Canis lupus familiaris: one gene and its partners. The protein of the gene in region 1 purifies or fractionates together with the protein of each later gene. This does not show direct contact. Links are inferred from orthologs where the notes say so. Each region holds a gene or a part of one and is shown in the gene's direction. Other genes may lie near its edges.

What was found. The genes of interacting proteins can lie anywhere in the genome.
Region 2: the proteins of IKBKB (region 1) and RIPK1 fractionate together in Homo sapiens (co-fractionation; 3 studies listed by BioGRID, with this or other methods). This does not show direct contact. The link is inferred for Canis lupus familiaris from reciprocal best matches to the Homo sapiens genes IKBKB and RIPK1.
Region 3: the proteins of IKBKB (region 1) and SRC purify together in Homo sapiens (affinity purification with western blotting; 3 studies listed by BioGRID and IntAct, with this or other methods). This does not show direct contact. The link is inferred for Canis lupus familiaris from reciprocal best matches to the Homo sapiens genes IKBKB and SRC.
Region 4: the proteins of IKBKB (region 1) and CASP8 purify together in Homo sapiens (affinity purification with western blotting; 3 studies listed by BioGRID and IntAct, with this or other methods). This does not show direct contact. The link is inferred for Canis lupus familiaris from reciprocal best matches to the Homo sapiens genes IKBKB and CASP8.

Annotation. Positions count from the first base shown.
Region 1 is NC_049237.1:24,100,695-24,104,194, reverse strand, and holds part of IKBKB (inhibitor of nuclear factor kappa-B kinase subunit beta), read left to right. Parts: coding exon 1-143; intron 144-317; coding exon 318-379; intron 380-1,433; coding exon 1,434-1,555; intron 1,556-2,891; coding exon 2,892-2,941; intron 2,942-3,048; coding exon 3,049-3,148; intron 3,149-3,356; coding exon 3,357-3,500.
Region 2 is NC_049256.1:4,667,095-4,671,362, forward strand, and holds the start of RIPK1 (receptor-interacting serine/threonine-protein kinase 1), read left to right. Parts: upstream 1-1,468; 5' UTR 1,469-1,589; intron 1,590-2,558; 5' UTR 2,559-2,670; intron 2,671-3,105; 5' UTR 3,106-3,222; coding exon 3,223-3,334; intron 3,335-4,268. UniProt on the Homo sapiens protein: Serine-threonine kinase which is a key regulator of TNF-mediated apoptosis, necroptosis and inflammatory pathways.
Region 3 is NC_049245.1:26,537,332-26,541,499, forward strand, and holds the start of SRC (proto-oncogene tyrosine-protein kinase Src), read left to right. Parts: upstream 1-1,368; 5' UTR 1,369-1,442; intron 1,443-4,168. UniProt on the Homo sapiens protein: Non-receptor protein tyrosine kinase which is activated following engagement of many different classes of cellular receptors including immune response receptors, integrins and other adhesion receptors, receptor protein tyrosine kinases, G protein-coupled receptors as well as cytokine receptors.
Region 4 is NC_049258.1:10,247,572-10,251,573, forward strand, and holds the start of CASP8 (caspase-8), read left to right. Parts: upstream 1-1,202; 5' UTR 1,203-1,210; coding exon 1,211-1,515; intron 1,516-4,002. UniProt on the Homo sapiens protein: Thiol protease that plays a key role in programmed cell death by acting as a molecular switch for apoptosis, necroptosis and pyroptosis, and is required to prevent tissue damage during embryonic development and adulthood.

The DNA of each region.
Region 1 (3,500 bases):
CCTTCGGAATAATAGCTGCCTCTCCAAGATGAAGAATTCTATGGCTTCCATGTCTCAGCAGCTCAAAGCCAAATTGGATTTCTTTAAAACCAGCATCCAGATTGACCTGGAGAAGTACAGTGAGCAAACTGAGTTTGGAATCAGTGAGTGTACTCTTTCTGCCATGAGCTTGGAGAGACCATTTCTTGCTTTCTTTTTTTTTTTTTTTCTTCTTGAGGTTTCTTTTGTCTCTTACAATTGAGTTGTTTGTTTCTATTTTGTTTTTGTGGTGTTTTCATTTTGTTTTTTTCTTCCCCCCCTACAATTTTTTTTTCCAGCATCAGATAAACTTCTGCTGGCCTGGAGGGAAATGGAACAGGCCGTGGAGCTCTGTGGGCGGGTAGGACACTCAATTTAAATTCCTGTCCTTACAGAGGGGGGCTGAGGCTTCCCACTACCATTTCTCACTCTCTCCTCAAACACTAGGTCTGTTTGTATGTCCGGAATCAGGTTGTCCTCATCCTGCTTTCTGACCTTAACTAGGACTTGCTGGGGAAAAGGCCAGGTTGATATGCAGTACAGGGGCCCCCTCAATGGCAGATGTGGAAGCTATCTGGACCTGGTACAGATTTGAACAAGGAGCCAAATGCGAAGGATCCTTGTGGGAGGCCTAGACTTCTTCCTATTAGAAAGGGCCTTATATGAATAGTCAACACTCCATCCTGCCAGGGGTTTGGCCTATTTTGTTGGGACGCTAAATCCATAGAGAGAAGTCATCTAGGCATAAAGTCTTAGAACAGCAGAAATCCAGTACCCACTGAAAAATGTTAATTGTGAGGTAAGGGAAGTAAGTATAGCTTAGTGGACCTCACACAAATCAAAGACTGAATGCTCCAAGGCCTTTTCTGGACTTTTCATTTTCTGCTGAGAACTTGGGGAGGGACCTTCACTTCTGTGTCTTCACATCAGTTTCTATGCACCAATACTGACGTGTATGTATAAGGTGAGTATGATATAGATAATAACTCACCTAACCACAGAGGCAGTGAGTGTACACTGGCACTTATGTACATAAACTATGAAACACAGGCACCCAGGCCTCTCCACGTGGGATAGACAAAGGGGAGAAAGGAATACATATGGGGCATCTTCTTTGTTCTGGGCACCGGGCTGGATACTTTATACACCGTATCTTGTCTGGGCCCTAAAATGGCCTCATTAGAGGATTATTTTATGGCAGAGGAAACTGTAGCTCAGGGCTTAGGTGATTTGCCCACGGGGTCACACAGCCAGAAAGTGATAGACCTGAGATCCAAACTCAGGCCATCTGACTCCAAAGTCTGTATCCCTTCTAGCCGGTCAGTTGAGAGTCTTCAGTGAGTTTGGGAGGGCGACTTGCCCGCCAAATCCTGCACCTCAGAAGGCTCTTATTACGTCAGTTGACATGAGCACAGCTTTTTCATCAGGAGAATGAAGTGAAGCACCTGGTGGAACGCATGATGGCACTGCAGACGGACATCGTGGACCTGCAGAGGAGCCCGATGGGGCGGAAGCAGGGGGGGACGCTGGATGACCTGTGAGTACCAGCTGGCCAGTGGACCAACCCGCACACGCCCCAGCCAAGTTTCCATATGCGTCTGGGAATTGTCCAAGGGTGCAAGTGTGGTTATTATGGAAGCTGTAGGAGACCATTCTATAGAGAATGACCCTCTGGTGGAGCATATTGGCATGTTCCAGAGGAGTGCCAGGGATGAGCAAGGGCAAATCACCATCACTGTCAGCCTTCATTTCCATATCTATCGAGTGGCAAGAAGAACTGTCAGCCCTCACAGAGTTGTGATCAATTCAGATGACTCAGGTAGAGCAGGGGTTCAAAAACTGTAAAGGCTGTGATGGAAGCAGCCTTTGCCGTGGCTTCAGACATCACTGTTCATACCTCCTGCCGTGATCCAGTTGTGGCTCGAAGAGCAGAAAGTAGAACAGAGGAGGAGCCTCGCAGGGCTTAAGAGTTTGAATCCAGAAACTGTTCATTTGAGTCTCTATGAGGAATTTGGCCTTGGCTGTAGGGGGTGATAAGGTGTCCCCGCCAAGCCGTCTGACCTGAAGGGAATCAGACCTGAAGGGAAACACGGAGCTCCCAGGGTGCAGGTGGGCGGGCAGCAGACGAGTTGCATCACACACATGGGAGCTCTCACTTGGGCTCAGCAGGGTCCTCTGATGCCTTTACTAGAGTTCTCAGGACCAGAATCTCAAACGGGAAATCTCATGATCCGGATTCTGTGTTTTCTCCAATTATTTAACCCTTTATTCTCCTTTAGTTTTCAAATAAGTCACCTCTGAGAATGTCAGTCACTTTCACTGTGCCAAGGCTGGAAACGGTTAGGAGATTCTGTTGCCCTTGGGCTTGAGTTTCAAGGAGGCCGTTTGCTCTCCAGGTTATGGCACTGGAGTCACTATTGCAGAAGCCACGTGGACAGGAAATTCCAAGGGACAGAGTAGAAACTCACTTCCTTGAGACTCTCGCTCATTAAACCTTAGAGATGGTTCAGGTTTAATAATGAGGGCCATCGTTGCCTTGTTATAGGCATCACCTGGAATAGCTCCAGGGGTAATAATTCCCTCCAATCAAGGCGTAATGCCCATCTTCTATTTTTTAAAATTAATTTATTTTTTCATGAGAGAGAGAGAGGTAGGCAGATAGAGAAAGAAGCAGAGAAAGAAGCAGGCTTCATGCAGGGAGCCCGATGTGGGACTCAATCCAGGGACTCCAGGATCATGCCCTGGGCCAAAGGCGGGTGCTAAACCACTGAGCCACCCAGGCATTCCCTGTCTTGCTTCTAAAAGGCACTCATTGTACTGGCAGGAATTACCTACCTGGTGTTTTAAATGTATTTCTTCTTCCTGTGTTTCAGAGAAGAGCAGGCGAGGGAGCTTTATAGGAGGCTTAGGGAAAAGCCCAGAGGTAAGTGGGGCTTCTGTGGGCCATGGGTGCCTTGTTTTGTGAGGTGTGCAGCGTTGGCGCTCTGCTGGCCACCGGGAAGAACTGTGCAGCTCCTTCCCTCTTTCCAGACCAGCGAACTGATGGCGACAGTCAGGAGATGGTCCGGCTGCTCCTGCAGGCCATCCAAGGTTTTGAGAAGAAAGTGCGAGTGATTTATACGCAGCTCAGGTATCTGCCCTGACCTTCCTGCCCAAGGGTGGAATTCGGAGAAACTGCTAGGCCTCACATGAGGTCTTTTTCTGGCTCCCCTCTGACTTGCTTCACCTGGAGAAAATTTATCCACAGCTGCTGTCGGATTCCTAGTTACCAGGGATTGTGTTCTTCCACTTTCTCCAACCCCAGTGCCACTGGAGTTTGTCACATTTATTCTTTACAGTAAAACTGTGGTTTGTAAGCAGAAGGCTCTGGAACTGTTGCCCAAGGTGGAAGAAGTGGTGAGTTTAATGAACGAAGATGAGAAGACTGTTGTCCGGCTTCAGGAGAAGCGGCAGAAGGAGCTCTGGAACCTCCTGAAGATCGC
Region 2 (4,268 bases), on another chromosome or scaffold:
TTAATTTTTCCCACTCAGTTCCCCTCCTTTCCCCTATAATCCCTTTCACTATTTTTTTCTGTTCCCCAAATGAATGAGACCATAGAATGTTTGTCCTTCTCCAATTGACTTATCACTCAGCATAATCCCCTCCAGTTCCATCCATGTTGAAGGAAATGGTGGGTATTTGTCGTTTCTAATGGCTGAGAAATATTCCATTGTGTACATAGACCACAGCTTCTCTATCCATCATCTTTCGATGAACACCGAGGCTCCTTCCACAGTTTGGCTATCGCGGACTTTGCTGCTATAAACATTGGGGTGCAGGTGTCTTGACATTTCACTGCATCTCTATCTTTGGGGTAAATCCCCAGCAGTGCCACTGCACTTCAGCCTTGTTTTAACATCATGTTACCTCATAGGTTCATCTTAAATGTTTGTAATCAGTGTAATCAGCACATTTCTTTCATATTGTCTTTTCTCGTATGATTTCATACACACGTTTCTGTGACATTGTTCGTCTATTTAATATATAGTAGCATATACTAATGGACTGTAAAAAATAATTGGTTTTTTGTTTATTTCTTTATGCCTTCATTCAACAACAATTCTAGGCACCATGCTAGGTAGTAAGTAAGGATGTATATTATAATCATCGCCATCATCATCGTGTTCTGCGCTCAAAGAGCTTAACTTTATAGCATTTTAACATATTTCCATATTAGCGTGGAAGTTTTAGTTTTACAGGACAGAACACAATAGTAATACCCTTAGCACATGGGATGAAATCTTTCTTTAAAAGGAGGCTTCTTTTAAAATGATAGCTGTGCTGCAAAGCATAGTAGAAGGAATCCTGGTGACTACAGATGGTCCCCAACTTATGGTTCGACTTACGACTTTTTCACTTTACAATGGTCAAAAGCCATGGGCATTCAGTGGAAACCATTCTTTGAATTTTGAATTTGGGTCTCTTCCTGGGCTAATGATATGCATTATAGTCCTCTCTCATGATACTGGGGCAGCAGCCGCTGAGCGGAACCACAGCTCCCGGCCAGCTGTGTGATCACAAGGTAGACAGCCAACATGCTCGCGACCATTCTGTTACACAGCCATTCTGTTTTTCACTTGCTGTTCACTATCAGTCAGTTACTTGAGATATTCAACATTTTATTATAAAATAGGCTTTGTGTTAGATGATTTTGCCCAACTAAGGCTAATGTAAGCGCTCTAAGCAGATTAAAGGTAGGTTGGGCTAAGCTATGGCGTTTGGTAGGTTAGGTGTATTAAACACATTTTCAACTCATAATACTGTCAACTTGTGATGTGTTTATTAGGACATAACACAACTCCATTGTATGTCGAGGAGGATCTGGATATCCACAGGTTCAGACCCCACAACCTTGAATAAAACAGTTGCTTTGGCCTGTTTGACTTACCTTTCCATGTCATAGACTTAATGTCCCTTGTTTTAGGTCAGTATCCCCCTTTCTGTAAAAGGAAGGATAATTATGGAGACCATTGAAGGGATGTGCTACCTCCATGGAGAAGGCGTAATACACAAGGACCTAAAGCCTGAAAACATCCTTGTCGATGATGACTTTCACATTAAGGTAAATCAGAATCTGAAAGTTTCTAGAAGATTGGGGTGGTTTTGTTTTTTTCTTAAAGATTTTGTTTATTTGTGAAAGAGAGAGAGACAGAGACAAAGATAGCAACAGAGATAGCAGCAAAGAGCAGATTCCCGCCCTGAGCAGGGAGCCTGATGCAGGGTTTAACCTGAGATGGTCCTGGGATCATAACCTGAGCCAAAAGGCAGATGCTTAACCGACTAAGCTACTCAGGTGCCCCAGGGGGGTTTTAGTTTTAATTCTCTGCTATAAACCCATTTTTGTATGTGATAAACACTAAAGGAAGACCTCGCTCAGCTTAGAACTGGTGAACGGTGGTGCCAAGGATTCACAAGAAAGATACGGACTCGATGGAGTTCATATTATTTATTTTTTTATTAATGTTATCTACGTTTTTTATCAGTTTTTTTTTTAACTATAATTTATTCCATTGTAGTAAAGGGAACAAGGGGAGGGGATTTTCCTTTTGTTCACCCAAGAGCAGATTTAAGTAGGTGGAACATCACATCTAATTGGTTTTGGCAGCAGGAATCCAAGCACGAGAATCTGAAAGGGGAAGCAGCAATGGTGGGGAGCGCAGGAGCTGCTGACTCAGAGTCCCTCCACTATGAGATTCTGCTTCTAATGCTTCCTTCTAGTCTTGGACAGATTCTTATTCCTATAACTTTAAAAGGAAGTTTCCCTCTTTAACATTAAATCACTTATTTCTTATGTATCTCTTAGGTTAAAATCGGGGGATTTTAGATCACCACATGATCTACCCAAATGCTTGGATTCCTAGAGGCAAAAGTGAAACTGTTCCCTCTGATTTCTTCTTAACTGTATTGTTCTATCCTTCCCTGTTCTATCATTGCCCTGCCACCTCTCTCTTTGTTCTGTGTCTGACCTTTGTATTTTTCTTTTGGTTTCCTTGTTGGTTTTTCTCCTTCTTCCTATCCCATCTTCTCTCAGGTTCAGGCTACCAACTCAAAACAAGTAGCACAGCAGTCTGTATCCTCAGGACTTTGGAGTTCTTAGAATCTCGCATCCATGGGCTTCGGGACACCATTTGGGAAAATTGAAGGTGCGGTATCTAGTCCCCATGTGCTATACACATCTGCTGAGAAGACCCCTTTTCTTCCTAGCCCCAGAAATAGTTGAAAAAAAAGTATGCAGAGTAAATGAGGAATTAGAATAAACACGTTCTGCTGTAGTTCATGTCAGAAATGACTTCTGCTTTTCTTTTCCCTCCCCTTCCCCTAGCAAATTACATGGTTTTATTGCATAAGAATTCAAATACCAGAATTTCACATGGACACATCTTAGGGACATTTTCCAGATAGCTGAGGAAACAAAGTTTCTATGAACTTGTTCAGAAGTAGCTGTTTTAAATCTATCTAGTGGAAATTTCTGGAAATTCACTATACCTTGCATCTATTAGTTAAGCCCAACATTTAAAGACAAGTCTAATTTGCCTCTGGCTCTCATAGAACAATCACGTTGATTTGATCTCTTGCAGATAGCTGATCTTGGCGTTGCTTCCTTTAAGACGTGGAGTAAACTGACTAAAGAGGAAATTAATGAGCAGAGGAAATTGAATAGTGTCTCTAAGAAAAATGGTGGAACCCTCTGCTATATGGCCCCAGAGCATCTGAATGACATCAACGCCAAGCCCTCGGAGAAGTCAGATGTGTACAGCTTTGGCATAGTACTTTGGGCGATATTTGCTAATAAGGAGCCATATGAAAGTAAGACATTTATAGAGGAGTGGGATCTGGCTATTAATCAAAACTGCTGAGTGAAATATTGGCCTTCAATGAAGGCAGTTAGGATTTCCAACTGTTTGTTGTTTTAAGGTCTTTCTTACCCACGAGACCACAAGCTACACGAGGGCTAGGACCATATCTGATTTATTCAGCACTATTTCCCCAGTATTCATCTCACAGTGCCTGGAACACAGTAGGTGTGCAGTACCATTATGTTGAATGCATGAGTAATCTCGGTTTAGGAATCAGGGATCACAGGACACATAGGAGCCATGATGATGTGTCTGTATTTGGGAGGTGCTGTAAAATTCCAGGATTCTTCCTGGACAGGAAAACTTACTTCCTTCTGCTTATGAGGCATATACTTCATACTTTGATTCATTATTCACTTGCTCTTTCACTTGAGAATTTTCTTTTTAGTACTTACTAGGGGTACTTTAATCAGAATTAAGAATAAAAAGATGAGAACAGATACATGGAGATACAAGATACAAGAATAAAAAGATGAGAACAGGGCAGCCCGGGTGGCTCAGCGGTTTAGCACCACCTTTGGCCCAGGGCCTGATCCTGGAGACCTGGGATCGAGTCCCACATGGGGCTCCTTGCGTGGAGCCTGCTTCTCCCTCTGCCTGTGTCTCTCTCTCTCTCTTTCTCTCTCTCTGTGTGTCTCGAATGAATGAATAAATAAATAAAATATTTTTTTTTTTTAAAAAAAAGATGAGAACAGATACATGTTCATGGAGGAGAATGGATACAAAAGTATATATATACATATATATATATACACACATCTTCAGTTTGTTAAATGTCTAAATTAATGGACATTTTCCATTTCTATTTTCTTGGGTGATTATCAGCTCCCCCAGTTTAATGATCGATCACCCATTGCCAGGGCCTCTCAAATCTCTTATCTCTA
Region 3 (4,168 bases), on another chromosome or scaffold:
GCCGAGGCCTGGTGCTGTTTGACCTGGATGGGCCTTAGTTTCCCATCTGTGAAATGGGAGAAATTTCAAAGAAGGAGAGACAAAACAGGGATGGTATTTAAAGCTGGATTCACACTCACCCTTCCCTATGCCATGATTCCAGGAGGACTAGTGAAGAGCCAAAAGTGGGGTGCAGTTTTGGAGCATGGGGTGAGATTGTTGGCATAGTGTTTGCAGAAGCCTTTGTGGCCTAAAGCAGCATTTCCTTATTGTCCCTTTTCTTTGCTCTACTCCTTGCCCCCTGCATCCAGATATAATTTGCCTCTTTATTTTCTGGGAAGTGTGATTGCCACTAAATACTGGCTTCAGCCCCCTCATAAGCAGGAATATCTAAAACTCAATGACTTCTGATAAGCTGCCTTAGTTACTGTTTTGTTTTTTAAATGCACATTAAAATGAACATATATCAGGGCACCTGGGTGGCTCAATCAGCTAAGTACCTGACTTCAGCTCTGGTCATGATCTCAGGCCCTGGGATGGAGCCCTGCCTGCAACTGGCTCCCTGCTGAGCAGTGAGTCTGCTTCTCTCTCTCCCTGTGCCCCTCCCCCTCCCCCTGCTCTCTCTCTGAAAAGAAATACAATCTAAAAAAATAAAATAAAATATAAAATGAACGTGTATCTATTAAAATAAATGTTGCTCTTCCCTACACTGTTCCTCCTGCCCCGGTCCTTGCTTTGGGAAACTCAAGTCAAGGCGGGTCCAAGGCCTGGTTCTCCTCAGGTGACTTCCTTCTCTGTGCCTCAGTTTTTCATCTGTAAAATGGGGATAATCATCAGCCTGCCCAGCCTAGGTGTTGTTAGGAATAGAGCCTTTTAAAAGTCGACCTGAGCCATTGGCATGGTGCCTGGGAAAGAGCAAAGGCTCCGTTAGCGCTGACATTATTATTCTTATTACCGGTAATTGAGGAAGAGGTGGATTTGGGGTCAGCAGGACGGGTGCTTGGGCCCGGTTAGGGAGGGCATTTTGGCTGGGGGGTATTTAGGGGTCCCACAGGGTGGGGCGCTCTCACGGGTCGGGGTGGGGGCAGGGTTTCTGTGTCCCCGCCCCCCGCCTGCCCCTCCGCACCCCGGCTCCTGCGGCTCCTGCGCCCACGGGGTGGGGCCCGCGCGTGGGTCTCTCCCGGGTCACCGCGGGGAGTCGGGCCCCGCACGCTTCCTCCTTCCTCCTCCCCCCGGCGGCCGGCCGGGCCCCTCCTCCCCGCTCGCGCGCTCCCTCCCTCCTCTCCCCTCCCCGGCCGCCGCCGCCTCCTCCTCCCTTTCTCTCCCGATCTGTCTCTCCCGGCCCGGAATCCATTCCGGCCTGGGAGCCGGAGCGGCCAGGCCGCCGAGTGCCCGACCCCGCCGTCCCGCGGTCCGCCCTCCCGCGCGTCCGTCCGCCCGTGCGCCGCCGCCCAGCGGCCCAGGTGAGCGCCCCCCGCCCCTCCGCGGGCCCCGGTCCCCGCCGGCCCGGGGGAGCCCCGCCCGGACCCCGTGGCGTCGGAGGGCGGGCGGCGGGGGGCTCGGGGCCCCGCTCCGGCCTCGCCGGGTCCGAGGCGCGATCCCGGGGCGCTGGGCGGGCGCAGGGGGACCTGCCCGGCGCGGCCTTTTGTTGTGATGCCTTGGGGGGGAGGGGGCGGGCGGGGGCTCGGGGTCCGGCCGGCGCGGGGGCCGCCGCCGGCTCCCCCTTCCCCGGAGCCCCCGGAGCCCCCGGAGCCCCCGGAGCGGGAGCCCGGCCGAGCCCCCGGGCCAGGTCTAGGCCAAATCTGAAATCTGAGCCTGTCGGCGCCGCCTCTGGCCGCGGCTGCCGGGCCTGGCGCCCCCGGCCGGGATGGGAGGTGGAGAGGGGGCGGGCAGGGTGGGCCTGGGGGCGCCGAGCCAGGGGCGCGGGCCGGGGCCCCAGGACCACCCTGTCCTCCTGGAGCTTGGGGTAGGGCCTGGTGCCGCGGGTCTGGAAGGGACAGGGCCGCACTGTCGGTCCACTGCCCCCAGCCCCCAGCCTCGCCCCTGGCAGGCCCAGCCGCCTGCCTGCTCAGAAGTTGGCAAAAGTTTTGGGTTTTCTCCACCAGGCTGGGTCCATCTCCCTGCCTGGGCTTCGGTTGGGGGTGAGCTTAGGTGCCCACAGGGGCTGCCGCTTGCCCAGCTCTGTGTGGTCAGGCAACTGCCTACCCTCTCTGATCTGGGGGTCCTGATCAGTGGCAGGTGGGTCTGGCTGGGACTGCTGGGCTGGTGGAAGGATGACGGTAAACAGAAGAGGCTCACCTATGGGGTATCAGTTCTGCCTCTGGGGCCTTCAGGCTCACTGGCCGGTGGGCCGAACAAGTGAGGCTTGTCAAGTGGGGCTTCCTGAGCTTCAGGACCTCTACATTTGGGGCAGGGGTCCCTGGGTTACCTGGGATGAGTCCAGGCCCAGACACAGTGCTGCTGAGATCAGACTTGGTTTCAGGCATAGACCAGGCGGGTCCTGTTAGTGCCCCTCTTGTCAGCCTCCTGGCTGGACAGACAAGACTTCTTGTCTCCCTGGGTGACCTGGGCCAAGGGACTGCCCCTCTGAGCACCCACATGTGGAATGGGGGAAGAATATATGCACTTCTACGTGTAGGAGCTCAGTGTGTAGTAGGTGCTCAATAAATGAGTGCTTCACTGGATGAATTGCCTAAAATGGGAGGGGGCTGAGGGGGCTGGTCCCAGTGGGGCTTGTGTCCAGAAGAGGATGGATTGGTGTCCGAAAAGCCACCTGAGAGCCCCTTGAGAAACAACTCCAGCACCATCCTGCCACCCAGCAGCTGTGTGACCTCGAGCAACTCGCTGCCTCCTTGGGCCTCAGTCTTATTAAGTATAAAATAGGCCAAATGGAGAAACCGAGGCTCAGAGAGGGGAAAGGACTTGACCAAGCCCACACAGTTTGAAGCTGGAATGAGAACGTACACTTCAGAGACCCCAGTTTGGCTGCCCTTGACCCCTCCAGTGTGGGGGGAGCAGGGGTTTCTCAGTATGGGACGAGGCATGCAACGGTGTTAGACCATACAGATTGATGAGTGATTGCATGGAAGCCACGAGGTCCTCCTGGGGATGTGGTGATGTGGTGTGCCTCGGTGATGTGGTCTTTCCACCTAGGGAAGTGATTTACAGTGTGTCACCTCTCTCAGCTGACTGCCTGCCTAAGCCCTTCTGTGTGGCTCTTGGGCTTTTTTCCTCCTGTAGGTGTCCCTGCCAGGACTGCCCTCTCCTCTGTGAGCTGTTTATCTGTTCTTACTCTTGAAGACTTAGCTTCAGGCCCACCTCTTCCAGGAAGGCTCCCTGGCTCTGCCTCCCCTCCCCATCCTCTTCCTGGAGCATGAACTCTCCCCAGCTCACAGCACAGTGCCTGCTGTGGCTTCTTCCTGATTGTGACCTGGCGGGTGGGGGGGGATGTCTGGCTCCCGCGAGCCCCAGGAGCCAGGGAGGACATGGCTCAGTGACCTGCTGACAACACTCCCCAACCCCCTGGTCCTCGTTGATCCCATTTTCCAAACCTGCCCAGATGCAAACATCCGTGACCCTGTGTGAGCCTCTGCTATATGCTAGGAGCTTCAAACTCAGGCTGAGCAGTGTGGCGAAGGGGTTAGTAGTGGGAGTTGTAGGAGGCATCAGGGGGCTTCCAAGAGGTGAGGGAGGGCAAGAAGTTTGCTCAACAAAGAAGGAGGGAGGGTGCTCTTTCTTCTATTCGGACACTTCCCAGGGTTGCTGGGATTGTGGAGGTGGTCATCCTGCTGCAGAATTGTGAACAGGTCCCTGGCCTCCTAGATATTTGAGTCTAGAGGGTGAGCCAAATAGCAAACAAGTTACCAAATAAATTAATATATAATCACAGATGCGATAAGGGCTCAGAGAGAGAGGCGTGGGGTGCAGAGGAATTTTGAAGGAAGTATGTAGGAGTTGGCCAAGCATGGAGCTGGGGAAGGGCTTGTCAGGCAGAGAGAAATGCATGTGCAAAGGCCCTGAGGTGGGGAAGTGTGTGTTATAGAGAAACGATGGGAAAGCCTCTGAATTCGGAGCACAGAGAATTAAGGAGAGTGGGTGAGAGGTGAAGTAGGGGGTGTTTTGGGGGGTAATCACTCATATGGCTGGACCATATGGAGCTGTGTGGGCCTTGGGGATGAGTTTGACCTTC
Region 4 (4,002 bases), on another chromosome or scaffold:
CACTTGATCATTACCTCAAGTAATAGAATCAGGACTTGTGTTTTCATCCAAAAAATGTTAGCCAGTGCAGGGAACTGCCTCTAGAGTCAGGTGATCCTGAGGCCTTTGGGGTATAGCACTGCGGCGTGTCTTCCCAGCACCATTGTTTCAGTCAGATCCCATTCTTTCTCTGGCCTCTAGTCCTTTTGGCCTATCCTCCACACATATTTTTAAATTTTAATTTAAATTTTTTAAAAAATATTTTACTTATTTGAGAGAGAGAGAGCAGGGAGAGGGAGAGCGAGTGAGCACGTGTGCGGTGGGGAGGAGCTGAGGGAGAGGGAGAAACAGGCTCCATGCTGGGCAGGAAGCCTGATGGGGGGCTCTACCCCAGACCCTGAGGTCATGACCTGAGCGACAGGCAGATGCTCAACTGACTGAGTCACCCAGGCATCCACTTTTTTTTTTAAAGGGGTTTATGTATTTATTTGAGAGAGCCAGGTCACACAAGAGAGAGCATGAGTGGGGGGAGAGGCAGAAGGAACTGGAGAAGCAGGCTTCCTGCTGAGCAGGGAGACAGACCAGGACCCCAGGATCATGACCTGAGTGGAAGGCAGATGCTTAACCCACTGAGCCACCAGGCGCCCCTGTCCTCCACACTTTTCATGTTAATCCCAAACTGGATGACATTACGGTCCTTTCTGAGTTCCCCATCACCTCTAGGGTAAAGCCTGAGCCTTTGCCCTACAGCATGAGGCCCTTTGTAATGGTTCCTGGCCACAGCTTCATCCCTATTGCCACCACTTCCCCTCCCAGACACTCATGGTTACTTTGTTGGGCAAATTGTGCCTGCCTGAGTTGACTTGAACATTCTCGCCTCCATCTTCCACATACATTTTTTCCCACCTCCTTCCCACAGGTGCCTGCCATCCAGGAGGCCCTTTCCCCTGGCTATATTCCTACTGTGCCCTGGTTAACTCTCGAACCATTGGCTAATTTGTATATCTACCTTCCAAAATAGTGAGCTACTCAAGAGCAGAAACCTGTCCTATTTGTTTAGTTTTTTGTTTTGTTTCTTCCCTGTGTCCTCAGTAAGACATCTGGTGTGTAGTAGAGATAACAGCACTTGATGAAGGAATAGACCAGTAAATGGTACTTCTCTTCCTCATCTGAACATAATATTGTGTTTTGACCTAGGTTAACAACTACCTCGTCCTGACACTTGACCAACATGGATTTCAGCAAATGCCTCTACAATATTGGGGAACAGCTGGACAGTGACGAACTGGCCTCCCTCAAATTCCTGAGCTTGGACTACATCCCACAGAAGAAGCAGGAGCCCATCAAGGATCCCTTGATGTTATTCCAGAGACTCCAGGAAAAGAGAATGTTGGAGGAAAGCAACCTGTTCTTTTTGAAGGAGCTGCTTTTCCGAATTAATAGACTGGATCTGCTGATGACCTACCTGGACACCAGCAAGGAAGACATGCAGCAGGAGCTTCAGATACCAGGCAGAGCCCAGATCTCTGCCTACAGGTGGGGAGGATCTCCACGGTTCAGGCACTGGGAGGCGTGGGTGCAGTGGATGCGTGTCTGTGGGCAGGGCTGCTTGCGGCTGTCTGTGTGGTATGACTTTGGAAGTTCCTTGAAGATGTCCCACCAGGGCCAGATAGAGAAATTTAGAGAACTTGTATATAATTCAGTAAAAAAGTGAAGGCAGAAAATTAAAAAAAAAAAAAAAGTGTTTCCAAAGTGCAACGTTACCTGTAGGTGTGCTAAAATTAGAACAGTCGTCTGCTGGATGTTCTCTCTGTCTACCCTTCTGTTGCCTCTGCTCGGTTGATGTCTACATCGCGCGCTTACTTTGCTTATTTCTGGATGAAGCATCGCCCCTGCTTACCTGAAATCCCCCTCCACCTGCTTGTGGATGACTATGGAAACGCTCAGTGGGGTTTTAGGTTTTTATTTCACACTGAAAAACTTGCATCACAGTGTCCTCCAGAGAGAGGGATGTGCGGCCAGTATCCTGGACCAGCCAGGCTGTACCCCACAAGGACTGCCGAGTCCCTGGGGGCCCAGCTGCTGCCAGGAGAATGGTGGTAACTTCAGTCATCTGTCCTGCCCAACACCTTGCAGCTGGGTCTCTCCCTGCCTGTGGGATAGCGGGTACCCAGGGGTGATAACAAGCCATGTTCTGTTACGTTTTTATGAATTGGTAACAGATTTCTTTGTGTGTGTGTGTGTGTGTGTGTGTGCAAAAAGGTGATTTTATTAAAATATGGGCAGAAGGGGCTGCATGGGGTGAGTGATCATATATATAGGTAATAGACTTTAAAAACAGAAACACACTACCAACTTCTGTCTTTTAACATGCCCTGTTATCAGATACTCCCTAAAGTTATTTTTAGCTTCCCTTCTGAAAACTTCTACTCAAGCCTTAGCTGTGGCCCATTTCACCGGTCTCTTCTTTCTTGTCAATAATGATGGCATGTGTGTGACAGTAAGTCCTCACAGCCAGGGCTGTGAAAGCCACTATCCTCTACTTTTGTGGCCTATTTTTAAAAAAGATTTTATTTATTTATTCATGAGAGACAGAGAGAGAGAGAGAGAGAGAGAGAGAGGCAGAGACACAGGCAGAGGGAGAAGCAGGCTCCATGCAGGGAGCCCGATGTGGGACTCCATCCTGGGTCTCCAGGATCAGGCCCTGGGCTGAAGGCAGCGCCAAACTGCTGAGCCACCCAGGCTACCCTAGCGTGGCCTATTTGTGAATATAAATGTCTCTACCATGTTAAGCTGCCCAGTTTGTGGGACATTGTTACGGCAGCCTTAGGAAACTCATACACCCAGGACATCTCTTTTGCCACTTAAAATCAAAATTCTCAAGAAGCTCTAAGTAGAGAAACATATGATAAGGAACATGCCAAATCTTGGGTCTCTGAGACTATGGGCCAGGACATTCACGAATGTTTTTGTGTTGTTATTTTCCTTTACATAATAGTGGAAGGTTTGCTAACTTATTGAACTTTCCTTTGCTCCTTCAACAAATGTATCTCAAGAACTTATCATAGATGAAAAAATAATAATGCCTGTTGTGTATTGAACACTTAGCGTGTTGCCAGTTGGCTTCAACACGTCAGATAAACTTGTTCGTATTATTCTTAATATGTCCCAGTGGTATATAGTATTATCTACAAGTTTACAGATGAGGGAAAAGAGCGCATAACACGTCCAAAGTCACACGGCTCTGAGATGATGGAACCAGAGTTCCGAAATCAGTAGTCTAGGCCCCCTGCACTTACATACTTCACCTCGTGACCCCCTGGGCTTATGGAAACAAAAAGGGCACGAACCCTCCTCTCAAGGGGCTCAGAGGGCTTCCAAAGCAGACAATTACAACATGTATGTAAACTTTCTGGGGATACAAGGCACCGTGGGGTGAATGCATTCTCAAGCATACTCGGGCGGGACTCAAGCTTAGTGGGTGACTCTGTGTCTGCGGATGGACAAGGGAATGGGGATGTGAAAGCATAGATAAAGGTGGGGACAGGACAGCTGGGTGTGTTTGGGGGGTGGAGGGGGACTGGTGGTGAGGAGTCGCTAGAGAAGCTGAGGGGGTAGGCTGGACTCGCTGCACAGAGGTCTGTATTCCGGAACTGAGTGTTGAGCCTTCCTGTGGAAGTTGACAGCTAGGAGAGCGCTAACAAGTTTTAATCAAGGAAGTGATGATCCAGTTTGCATGTTGAAAAGCATAATTTCCAAAATAAAACTTTCATTTTTTTCTACTGCAATAAGTGACTTTATAGTGGAGGACCAAGGAAAAACAAAATTCATCTCACTGAAATTAACTGTGTGGCATAGTCAGTGGAACTGCAAATTCTGTTAAGGGTGGAGCATTGGGGCATGAGTCAGTAGTCTGTTATGTCCCTGCAGCAGCCTCTTTCCAAAGATTCAACTCATAAAGTATGTCATTAGCTGTCTTTAAGGAGTGGTGACCAGAATCAAGTTTCCACTGCAACTCCTTTT